Linked DNA regions of Caenorhabditis elegans. The protein of the gene in region 2 interacts with the protein of the main gene of each other region in a biochemical or structural test. Each region holds a gene or a part of one and is shown on either strand. Other genes may lie near its edges.

Region 1 (6,585 bases), on a different chromosome or scaffold from region 2:
TTGAAACTCAACACCTTTTTTGCAAATAACAACAGAAGCCATAATTTTGAAAACCCACCCTCGGTAATTAGATTGTTGACACTAGTTAGGCTACAGTTTCCATAACTCTTTTCTTCTTTTTCTTGTATGCTCTCATCAATTCTTCCTACTCAAACCAGTCATTCATTTTGTTTCAACCGTTCTTGTGTCACCCGATACTCTGGAAATTTGCCTTCTTTTTGTTTCTATCATTTCAGTTTGCCTTCCTGTCTAACACGTTCGCAACATTATTCTCGATTTTAATATGGGGTTTTGTTAGAACGTAGAGCGATCAAAGATCATAGAAACATAATTTAAGAGATTTTTTAAACCTTAAGTTTTAAAAATAGTTTTCATTTTGCCAATTTTGTCGAATTTTTTGAGCAATAGATGTTTTGATGATGGTATCGTCAGTAGGAAAATTTCGAAAAATTTAGCAATTTTAAATTTTCCACTCTAAACTCAAACCTTAAACTTAATTTCTCAACAACCCCGCCAGACAAAAAAATTAAATATATTTGCCTTACCAGGATATAAGACTGAACTTTACAAGTATCAAAAAATCTTAATTTATTTTCAGTCTTACACGTTCGCATAATAATTATGCAATGAATTAACATGAAACTATTGAATCTTTGGTTATCTGAATGTGTGGGTAGGAACATGCATAGAAAATGAACCAGTTCATAGACTATAATTAACCAACAGAGCATGTGTACCTGCATACGTTGACGAAGATTGAGCCGACAAGGCAATCTCTTTTTTTCTGCTGCGATTTTTGATGATGACATGTCTAGTAAGGGAGAGCTTAAATTTCGTTCTTTTTTAAATTTCATATTTATCTGGTGGATTAGTTGGGAGCAGAAATATCAATGCATTTTTGTGTTGCTACTAAATTTTCTTATTTTTAGTAACTAACTGTAAGATTTTGGAGCCTAAGCTTCCATGTGCTCATTTCGGAAAAATCCTAGTACCAAAAGTAAAATATAGAACTTCTAGAAAATATTTTAACAGAAAAATAATCTTAGCACTTTGGTGTAGTCTTTACATATGGTTGATCAAAAAACGTGGCAACAATTATACGGTATCCATCTCTTTCACCTACTCTATGTGTTTTCCACAAACCCATTTCAAAGGAAAACCTACAATTTATTTCCTAAAAATAACGTTTCACTTATAGTGCCTATTTTCTGAATTATGAATTCTAAGGAATATTTTCAGGTAAAATTTGCACTATGCTAAAAAGGAACATTCAGGAAATATGCAAAATTTGTTATTCCTGATGATCCTTTAAATAATGCATGTTTTTCAAAAATGTTGATAGCATTTATCCGTTCGTCTGTTAAAAGCCCAAAAACCGAGCGAATTTAAATTATTTGAATACCGATATGCCAAAAAACTTGCAATTTTTTTACCTTTTGGAATTTTAATTTTAAACTGCGAAATCGAATCCATTCTTAATTGTTTTTGGAACTCGCAGAAAGCTAAGGAAATTCAACAAAAATATCAAAAATGATCAAAATAAAACGGGGAAATATTTCAAAAGAAAAATACAGCTGTAAGTGTTTTGCTATATTTCACAATTTGCCGATAATAAAATTTTCCGGCAAACGCCAAAGTCGGCAACTCCCTTTGCCGACCGGCATTTGCCGCCTACCCCTGGATTGACTGTTAAACTATAAACTTATAGGTTTTTCATCCATTGCGACATTAAATTTCTCTTCTAACTTTCTCGCATGTGATTTTTCCAATTCCTCATAGCTTTTACAGTCGCCTGACTTGTATTCTCTCATCCATCAATGTTGTGTCTTCTATTCTCCTTTCTTACTGATTTCCAACCACCGTCATGACAACAAATCTCTAATTTTCACAATTTCCTCCGACTATACACATTTGTTATCTATTTTGAGACAATTCCCTTATATAAAAAAGTAGTCACTTAGGGTGGCGGGATGTCTGACGAAAAACATATTGTTTCCCAGTAACGAGTCATTTTACTGCTCGCTTTCCCACTTGGTTCTTGCTCATGAAGATTTTTTTGAATTGGAAAAACATATGAAAATAGATTTCATGTTGATGTTGAATGTCTTCTCACTTTTTGCATCAAATATTTTACTTTTACATATACCGTATTTTTTCTAATAATCTTGCTCCCCTCTAAACCGGTCAAAAGTTAGTTATGCGTGCAAGACTGATAGAGAAAATACGGTATGGAATTTTTACAGTAGGGTTCGTCACAAAAATGTCTCAAATTACCTTTTTTGCAGAACTATTTTCTAAACATTCTCGAACGATTTCATTATCTCATAGATCAATATATAAATTCTCAGATTATGAGTCATGAAATTTTTTACAATAATGAGATTCAATATAGTCGACCCTAACAGATAATTCATGTCAGAACAATGATGTATTATTGAGCAGTAAAAGCACTTTTCAGAATTATAAATCATCAAAAAAGCTTCAGGATGGAATCCTGGAGTTGTACTATTAGGATGGTGTTTTTGAGTTTATTATCACGATAAAGGCTTATGCCTTATTTACTTCAATCGTTTTATAGGACTTAGTGATAATATGAAGGTTGAGGAAAAGAAATAAATAAAAATTCGGTATTTTAGAGTAGAATATTACGCAGTGTCCATTTATTCTGTCGCAGGATTTCGACAAAAAATGTTTTCGTTTTCCAGTAAAATAAACATAAGAATGATTATTCGAAGTTTGCAACTCCTTTTTCGCGTTTTAAATCGGAATTGTCTATTTCGATAGTTACTGTGTATTTTCTACTAGTAATGGCTGCTCTTGGTTGTATTTGTTGTCATGAAAAAATTGTCAACTGAAAAAATAATTTTCAATTCTTTTTCTGTAGTTTTGCAATGAACTGTTTATCGATATCTTCAAAATCAACTAAGTTTGAACCATTCAAAATGGATCAATGGGGTGTAGTACTAATAAAGAACATACGGTATGTTGCAACTGTTGAGGTTAAAATGGGTATTTTTGAGCCATCTTTTCCCTACTTTAAAATGATCTTGCCAGATCCAGTTTAAACATGGTTAACGTATTCTTGGAGGCAATCCATAATTGTCGAAATTGCCAGTTGCTTTTTTGTGAGCCATTTAGTGAACATGAACGTTGCCCAGATGGACTGCAACCCGTTTAGAAATAAAATCATGGCTATGATTCATTTTCATAAAAAGTTCATTTCCTTACAAGCCGCTTAACTATGACACTAGAGACCCCACACAAAGTCATTCCAAAATTGAGAATTCACTTCCTACTCGTATTCTCTGAATTCCTCACATTGAGGCATCACAGTTCACTTTTTTCTCAATTTTCTTTTCTTATTTCTCATTTATTTTTTTTTACTTTTCTTACTTTTTTAGAATTTACTTTCCCACTCCATTAACATTTTTTCAGTAACCTTCGACCATTCCCAAATCCTCATTTTTCTTCTTCATTCTTCAGTCACCTCTCCAACTGCGCCTCCATCACAAACACGACTGCGGACTTGCAAGCTCCGCCCATCTTGCTCGCACTTTTGAAACATTTCGTCTCTCCGCCTCCCACCATGAATCCATCGATATCCACGGCGGGAGCAGTCGTCGACGATTTTCAGATGTCATGCAGATTTTCAAATTTTGGAGATCATGCACCTGAATCATTTGACTCACTTTCCTGTGGAGCATGCTTCTATTTTATTTTTATGCTCGTAGAGCACTATAAAGATAGGTGAGCAGAATGGAGGCGCCTTTTTTTGTTCCTTATTGAAACAAGGACTCTATTATTTATGAAGCTTCACCTCTTTTCTCTATTTCAAATGACAATTAACACTCCGCGGACCTTTTTGTGGTCTCTTATGGTTGAAGCTATTATTAGTTTGAAACTATTATTTGGAAAGTTCCAAAGTTTAATTTTTAAATTAAAAATATTTCATGAGTCATTCAATTATTTTTAAATATGAAATGTTTGTTGTACTAAATCGGGATTTGCTTCTGAAAAATTTACAGTACTCCATTTTAGCAACTTTTAAAATTTTTAATTGATATATACCTTAAAATTGAAAATGTTCAATTTACTAGTTTGTATTGAAAAAATATTTTTAAAAATTTAATCTAAAGTTTTGCAACTTTTTCAAATGTTTGAATTATTTTTCCAAATTTTTCAACAGAAACATTCAAAACCGGACTGTGCGGAAATATTTTTGCAAAAGTAGAAAACTGCAATTTCAATATGATAATCCAACGTTTTTAATCAAGTTTTGATATAGCAAAGTAGTAGACTTGTTCCATCTGAAAATAATATTTATTTTAGTAAAAAAGTTTGCAAAAGACCTCAAATGTTGTATGAAACTGTTTGAAGTCTCTTTGAAAAAAGATAATTACTGGACAAAAATGTAGAGATTTTCTCACTCTCCTCAAAGCCTGTCTGGAAAGCAAAATAGATAGGTAGGCGGGCTTTCCCGCCTGAATAAAAAATGTGCCTGTCTATCACAGATTTAAACTAGTTCTTTTATTATCGCAGATTCTTCATTATATCCAAAAATGTGTTTCAGATACGTTGCAAGTCTTTGTGAAGACACTTTCGGAGTACTAGTATGCCCAGTTGATGTCAGTGACAAAATTTGCAATTGCTATAATCGAGAATATGTCTACAATATTCCGGAGTTCGCACTTAATTCGTAAGTTTTATAACTTAAATAGTTCACCTTGGACATTAATATATTGTTGTTAATATTTGTAACTTTGGAAACTTTAAAAGTTATTCTTGAAATTAATAGAAAGTGTATTTTGCTGTCAAGAAACATCCTTGCGTGCAGGTTTTCTGATGTAGTTTAAAAAAAATGGAAACCCAATTTTTGATCTCTGATACTTTTGATTTGAATAATTTTTGAAACTGTAATATTCATTTAAAAAATTGAATCTAGTCTTATTCATTTCTTTTTCTCTTGCATCCGAATGTCAACGAATTGTCTCAAATTTCAACCGGACGTTGCTCGAAACCTTGTGCTCATTGATCAAAATGTTGAGCAGATTTTGGTCCTAAAAAACGAAAGCAGAACGTATCCATTTCTATGAATGCAAAGAAACATACCAGAAAAAAACGCGTAATACGATTACCTCTTTCTCGCTAGTTTCCATCTATGTTTAGTCTATGAAAAAAAGGACAAAACGAGCACTGAGTGAAATTGTCTCAGCGGCGGCGGTGGCTCTTTCCATCATTTCCACTCCTTTTCCGCAACATTTCGCACAAATTTAAAGGGTCCCCGAATGCTTGAAAGAAATAGTATGTGAGACGAAGAGACGCACAGATTCACTGACCTCTTTTGCTTATTTCTGACCATGCACACGCAATAGGAAGAAAGGTTCAATTGAAACAAGAAAAGTCCTAGTTTCACCAACAAAAAAAGTTTGGAGATTGGTGAGGGACAGGGGATTTTAACGCTTCCAATCGGTTGAAAGCCAAAATATTTTACACTTGCGGAAGTTTGGATATTCTATGGAAATTAGGTGTGAAAATTTAACAAAAACCTTAAATTGGCATTAAAATATATAACTTAAATATTTCATACTACAACAAAAACTGAAGACGGAGCCGCAGAATAACGGAAAGTTCCGTGTAAGAAACGGGTGACTATCGGACAAATCTACCGTAACATATAGTTTTTCGTTACGAGACCCTTGAAAAATTACTAAAATTTCAACTGTTTTTTCAAAACCTTTCCTTGCACAAGTATTCCCTAACAAGAATGGTTTTTTCCAGAGCTCAAAAATTCAACCAAAAAAGTTTTGAAACTAACAAAAAAAGTATATTCTCTCCGGGGGATCTGAAACGTTTTTTTGCCCATCATACTTTTTTCTTTAAGAAAAAACTCCTGGATTGACAGGAGGGTCTTTTTGGAACTCTTGGGAACTCTTGGAACATTGATATGTCAAACATTTTGGAAAATTTGGTGCAGAGTGAATGACGAGCTTTTTTTTTCGTTTTTTAGGCCTCTTTTTTGAACAATTTTTGAAATTTTCCAAAAAGACCGGAAATCTACGGTGACAGGAGGGACTAGGGATGTGTGAGTCAGACGGGAAGTTCAGATGAATAGATTTGGAAAGTTTGAAACTTTTTTTTAGAAATTGTGATATGTATGACCTTTGTGTACTTGAGAACCAAGGAGCGAAATAAAATATGAAGATTTTTTCAACTTCTTTTGGCTGTTTGTGATTCGTGCCGAATGTTATGCAATTTACGCAACAGTAATGTTCTTATTAGTTCAGAAAGTTACATTAGGATAATTCAATTTGTTGGAATTCTAATGGGGAAGGATTACTGTAGTTTGAAGGATTAGCACTACAAGGAAATTTTTCCCTTTTGTGACTTCAAATAGTAAACTGCAAAATTTTAAGTGGCAAAGTTTCATTCTCAACCCCTAAAATTTTTTATTTTAATTTTAATACTAACATTAACAAAAAAGTTCTGATTTTTTTGCAAGATTTTTTTCCAACTTTTTCCTTGCAGAAATTGACCCCTTACTTTTCAAAAAGTAACATTTCAATCTTTAGCAGCCATTTTTCCATC
Region 2 (6,100 bases):
TAAAATGACGTATGTAGTTTCGTACCTCTCCAACTACATTTCATCAGTCGTTCCCACCACCTCCACTGTTTTCTTAGCTCCACCTCCTTTTCTTAAAACGAAACATATAAGAAGCTGTGAATGAGCCATCTTCTTCCAAAACGCCTCCTCAGAAGGCGTGGGTTGCAGGTGTTTCAAGGATCCACTCGAGTGGACGACTTCTTCGTTTTGCTAAATTGTCTCTGAAATATTTATTGCTTTCTTGTGGGAAATACTCTAACAAGAGAAACTTTCTGTAAAGTTTGAGCTCATTTTTGTCTGGATTTTCTCTGAGCCAATGGGTTGTAATAAGTTGTTTTTTAGAGCCTCGTATTTTATTTCTCATTTAATCATTTGCCTGCTGATAGTTTTAACTTTGTGAAACTTTTAAAAATTTAACTTTTATTGTTGCTGTTTGCATTTTAATACCTTTTTAATGTTGCCATTCAAACTGGAGCAGCGTTAGTGGGGGTTAACAATTTAGAGAAATTTGACTTTATTATAATCAATTACAAATACTTTAAAGACAATTAAAATATAAAATCCATAGCGAAAACTTTATTTTGGTCGGTTTCCAAGATGAAGTGTGGCAAAAACTGGGTAATCACCACTTTTTGAGTGCAAATTTAAAAATTTAGAATGTTCTTGAATAGTCCTCTGGAAGTACTCCACCTTTAATGTGTGATCATAAACTTTTGCCACATTTTTTCATTAGTATCCACTTTATTCATAAGTTATCATCATAATCATCATAATTTGTGCATCATCTTGCTCTTTTGAGTCATCATTTCATTTAAACATTTACACATACACTCTTACAACCATCCAAAGAACATGAAGTCTTGGTGAATAATACACGACAGTCGCATTACACTAATGGGCCCATCATCATCTATCTTGCTCCCACCCGATTTCTTCCTATTTTTTACACGTGACATAGACACAGTTTCAGTCGTGTCACTATTGCCTTGCTGAAAATTAAATGTCACTCAAATTTACTTCCTGTGACCATTTCACAACACCACACACTTCCGGTCGGCTGGAATTAAATGATTATGAATTATACCTCGTGGACCTACTGTAATGAGTTATTAATAACGTTTGTTGCAATTTAAATATTGAAAAAAGACATCGACTTTAAAACTAAAGTGATACGTGATAATCATTTGAATCGTTGCCTAATTGTTTGAGGTGAGATGGAAATCTCTTTTTAAAAATTTACAACCTCGTGACAATTTCATAAAATAATATTTGGTGTTTAGCTTCGGTATACAAGTACAAGCATATGGTGTCTACAGTAACTACAATAACCTTTCTTGTAATACTTCAATTTCAAAAATAGTTTTTATGTTATAATTGGTATACTAAATAATAAAGACCTATGTTGGTACTGGCCCATTATATTTTATGACGTCTCCTCTCGTTTTACTCATTTTTCCCAAACGAAAGAGCACGTTGGCAATGAGCAATGTGATTTTAAGGAAAAGAAGGGCGGAGCCACCAGACCCATATGCAAAGCAATCCCATTCCTGGTCTCTGCCTTTTTTCCTCGGTGCTCTTAAAATCCGTCTCCTCTCATTTTTACCGCAGTGTTTTGTGTGAACGATTGTTAGGGGGTGAAATCTAACAAAATGAGGAATTGGGTTAGGAATTTGGAATGTGTGTTCGCGACGATATTTGCAGTGTAATGGATGAAGAGTTAAGTGAGGTTTAGAGATCATTCTGTGCTAGACAGATAGATTTGTGTTGTTACAAAGGTAAGTTTTTTTTATAAAGTAGCTTATCTTATCAAAACAGAACTTTTTTGATTTTAATATCTCCCTAAAAGCTTTTCATTTCTCAGATGATGTTCGGAGTTGTTTTATTTTTGGAATTCGATAACTGGACTATTGTATACTTTCGTTTATACTGCTCGATCAAAACTTTGTTATTGCAAACTGTGAAACATTACTAAAGGATCATTTTTGTCAATCTTACGTCTGACAGTGAGAATAAATTAAAAATTAAACAAATCAGCTTTGAGCGGATTTTGCTAAGTGAGGTACTCCGATTCCAAAAAAGTTGAGTTACTTGTGGTGATTTCACCAAACACGGTAGGATGAATTCTTGCGTACCCTAATTATGAAAGTAAACTTGATGTTTATAATTTTTCAATTAATGGCAACGTAACACTTCTTATGAACACTAGAGTTATAAATTTGAGTCCACTTTTGTAAAAATATATATTTTCACTTTTTCACAAATTAACAAAATACGAAAACACGATTTTTCTTTCTTTTCACGATATTACATCCCACTACTTTGCTTTGAACAGTTATGCAAATTGTCAAAGTTGAACTGATGGGTGGAAAACTAGCAGAGGTAGAACGGTACGGTGTACAACAAAAAATATTTTAATGCACTTGCTACCCGCGTCTCGCCTCTTTTTAAGATTTTAAAAATTTTTGGTAACAAAGATTTCCGATATCTCAAATTTACGCACCGTCGACCACATCTTACCTCATTTTCCAGAATCCCTTTAAAATTATTTGCGTCATGTGTTATTGATAGAGGTATATATAATATCACTCTAAAAGTATTACCTATACACTACAAAAATTGTATGTCTATAGTTATAACGGTTCTCAATAAATTGCCGAATAACAGTCAACAATTTTTCATTTTCCATTTTTATTGACATCGAGTATTATCGACACATTAACACCAAACTACTAGATTTGATTGACTTTTATGCTTCTTTTCTATCTTTTCTCAATTGCCCATATTTATTTTCAAGTGATTCTTGTTCTTTAACTAATTCCCAACATGTCGTTTTTCTTACTGCTCTTATTTTGAATCTTGCGCTAATTCTAGTTACAATTAAAGGTAAAACAAAATGAGCTGCTCCTCGTCATCGATGCTCTTCTTGGTGCTCATCGCGACCACTGTGCTCATCGCCGAGTCTCGTGTATTCTATAACCGATTCGACGGCGGGCTCTCCTCAGATCGTTTCATGGAGCAGAAAAGGGATGGTGCTGAAGCCTCGTACGACTATGACGCCAACCAGTGAGTTATTACAATTTTGAGAGCTTTGACATAGAGACAACGGAAGAATATAATTGAAATCGGCATCGAAATCTAAAAAGGTTGAATTGGAAAAACTCAGATAAATTTAAATTTTTTATGTGTAAAACATCTGAAAATTTGAAAAATATTGAAAACTTTGAAAAGTCCCTGAATATCTTATGTTACCAAATTTAACTTTCAGTTACCTTATAAAAATATCCATCGGAGTATTTTTCCCCTTTTTTCTAAACATTTAATTAAAGTTTGCCCTATTATATCATGAGTTTCCCCACATTTAGGGTATTCAGGGTAGTCACCAAATTTTGTTTCAATTAATTCAAATTTTTAGTGTTTTCATAAAAAATCTTTAAAAAATATGTTTCCATTTTGTAAGGCAAAGTTTCAGAGTAATTCGAAACACAATGAAGCGCAACCGTCAATGCCTTCTCAACGCTGGTCTCTCTCAAGGATGCGATTTTTCTGATCTCCTTCATGCTCAGACTCAAGCTCGCAAGTTCATGAGCTTTGCCGGACCAGGAAAGTGAAGAGAATCGAGAAGGACACCTCACCTCAAAAGCGACGAAAAATTTACAAAATATTCTTCCAAAGCAATCAAATAGTGCACAATTTTTACAATTTTCAATTGTATATAAAAACTGAAATAATCAACAATAAGAATAATAATTTACATTCAATCAAAAATAATAATAATTTGAAACAAAACAATTCTCTCGATCTCTTTATCCATATTCTCCATTTCCTTTTCTCTCTCTCTCACTCTCTCCGTCAACTGTTTTTTGCCCATCAATGCACTCACTCTCTTTGAAATGAATGATTACAACTGTTAACTGTCAATTAATGTCCTGAAACTAAAGTAAGTGACGCTAGGCGGGTGGTTGTAAAACCGTGTCACTAATCAAAATTTTGGGAAGGCTGCCATGTTATCACTACTGTCATTTCAAAATGACGCTGCGGCTCCAAAAGTTTATGGGTTTACTGGTTTTTTTACTGGTTTTATGTCTTTTTGATGATGCTTTTGCTTTAAAATGCTATGATTCAGAAATGCAGGTAAGATTTATCGTAAATTAGCTCTTTTAAAATATATTTTCTGTTTGAATCTTTAGTTTTCGAAAGTTTTTGAATACTTGGTACCGTCAAATAATTTGTTTTGTGGATTTCAAATATGTTTGTACAGTACTTCGAGAACAATTCTGACATTTGCAGTATCAAATTATGTAATTAATTAAAATTTAAAAAATAATTTAAAATAAATCATTGATAGTGTCTGACATTTATAGAAGTTTATGACCTCGTTATTTTTTAAACCCTGTGCTAAAAATGCTTTTTGATTCAATTGAAATACTTAAAATAAACGTAACTTCAGACGGCAAATTGTGAACCTATTCAATTATGGTGTATCAAGTTTATAAATGGTTCTACAATAACTCGTGGATGTGCAAATGTGAACGACTACTGTTATGATGAGGATGAAGGGTATTCTTTTTGTTTTCTTAAAACATTGTTTTAGCAGTAGTTGCCTTTTGTAGATGCTACCCGACACGCGAGGAAAATGGCGTCACACAAAAATGGTGTTGCTGCCAAAAAGACATGTGCAATTCAGTAAATTCTCCCATGGCACTTTTTTCAGTTTTCTTTATAGTTGTTTCGTTGTGGGTATACTTTTGAAGCTTTATTTTCAATTTTAGTTTTTTTTTTAATTTTGAATTCTTTCAACATAAATAAATAAACTGAACAACTATGAGGTTATAAAAAAAAATAAACAATGCATTGAATGTCAAAATTTACATACATGGGGATGAGAATGAGCAAAAAATGATAGTTGCGAATTTCGCATACTTGACCGAACACATTGTGTCTTTCCCGTTTATTTGAGGTTTTGAACTTATTTGTCAATTAGTCAATCATCTTCTACAATTGGATCATCATTCATTGCCATCAGAAGACGCCTTTTGTAAACAAGATTGTATCCTTGATTACAGCAAAGTCGATTGCATTGAGAATTGCTCACAAAGTTGTTCAGACTTCCAGTGGGTGAGAAAGCAGCTCCACGACAATTTTGGAAGCTAAATCGAACACATCGATCTGCCAATGGATCGTAAGTAAAACGAATTTCACGGACAGGTTCGAAGTCTGGACCAGAGCAAACTGAGATTGGTGGACGGGATTGTAGGCAGAAGTTCACTGAAATTAATGAAAATATGTGTATGTGTTATTGCACACTTTGATGTGCGAAACAGTATTTTTTGGTGGTAGGCGTAAGTGATTTTTTTATGCACAAAGATAGTTGTTTTTGTGATACAATTCTGTGTTTTTAACTACACAAACAGTTCAACCTACTTGGTGATGGACAACAATATGCTTCGTTTCCTCTCGGAGTACACACATGATCACCGGGACACTTTGCTGCTTTCGACGGATCACATTGAATAGGCGTGCCATCAACAGTAATCAATGGATCTCCTTGTGGACACATGTTCCTCGGCACGAATGTGAATGGAGAAGAAGTTACCGGTGGTGATGGCATCAGAGTTGGTGGTGGAGGAGGAACAGCCGACATTGGACTGTTGGCCAGAGCTATGAATTGAAAACTAGTTAAATATTCTCATTTGAATGAACTCACAACTAAATTTAATTCCATTTGCCACACATGTTTCCAGACAATCAGTAAGTGAATCAAAATTGTTCTGATTTCCACCTTCTCCAGAATATATAAAATGAAGGCATTGTCGATATTCCGGAGAGAAGAAATACCGGGAAAGATATTGATCTCCTTGACCACTAGCTGCTGGTTGTGAACATTGTGATGATGGTGGTGGCATTGGAGATTGGCAAGTCTTCATACAATCATTTCGAGTCAAAAAATTATTCATATTACCACCGTGTCCAGAATAAAGGAAAGATGTGCATTGACCTGCAGAGTAAGCCCAACGATGTTCAGAAAGAACTCCGAACCCAACATCAATGGGTTGACCACAAAGATTGTTCGAAGCATGGGTTGCAGGTACAAAGTCAATTA

The links.
Region 1: the proteins of ctdh-1 (region 2) and dhrr-1 interact in a test that uses a peptide from one of them, tested with the Caenorhabditis elegans proteins (one large-scale study listed by BioGRID).

What each region holds. Positions count from the first base shown.
Region 1 is NC_003281.10:8,941,229-8,947,813, forward strand, and holds the start of dhrr-1 (G_PROTEIN_RECEP_F2_4 domain-containing protein), read left to right. Parts: upstream 1-3,428; 5' UTR 3,429-3,586; coding exon 3,587-3,747; intron 3,748-4,570; coding exon 4,571-4,696; intron 4,697-6,585.
Region 2 is NC_003283.11:9,675,394-9,681,493, forward strand, and holds ctdh-1 (CalciTonin/Diuretic Hormone 31), read left to right. Parts: upstream 1-2,883; 5' UTR 2,884-2,893; coding exon 2,894-3,063; intron 3,064-3,469; coding exon 3,470-3,608; 3' UTR 3,609-3,909; downstream 3,910-6,100. Other genes in the region: ZK287.9 (Activin_recp domain-containing protein), read left to right, coding at 4,027-4,131, 4,448-4,557, 4,611-4,749; ZK287.4 (BPTI/Kunitz inhibitor domain-containing protein), read right to left, coding at 4,982-5,265, 5,422-5,658, 5,705-6,100.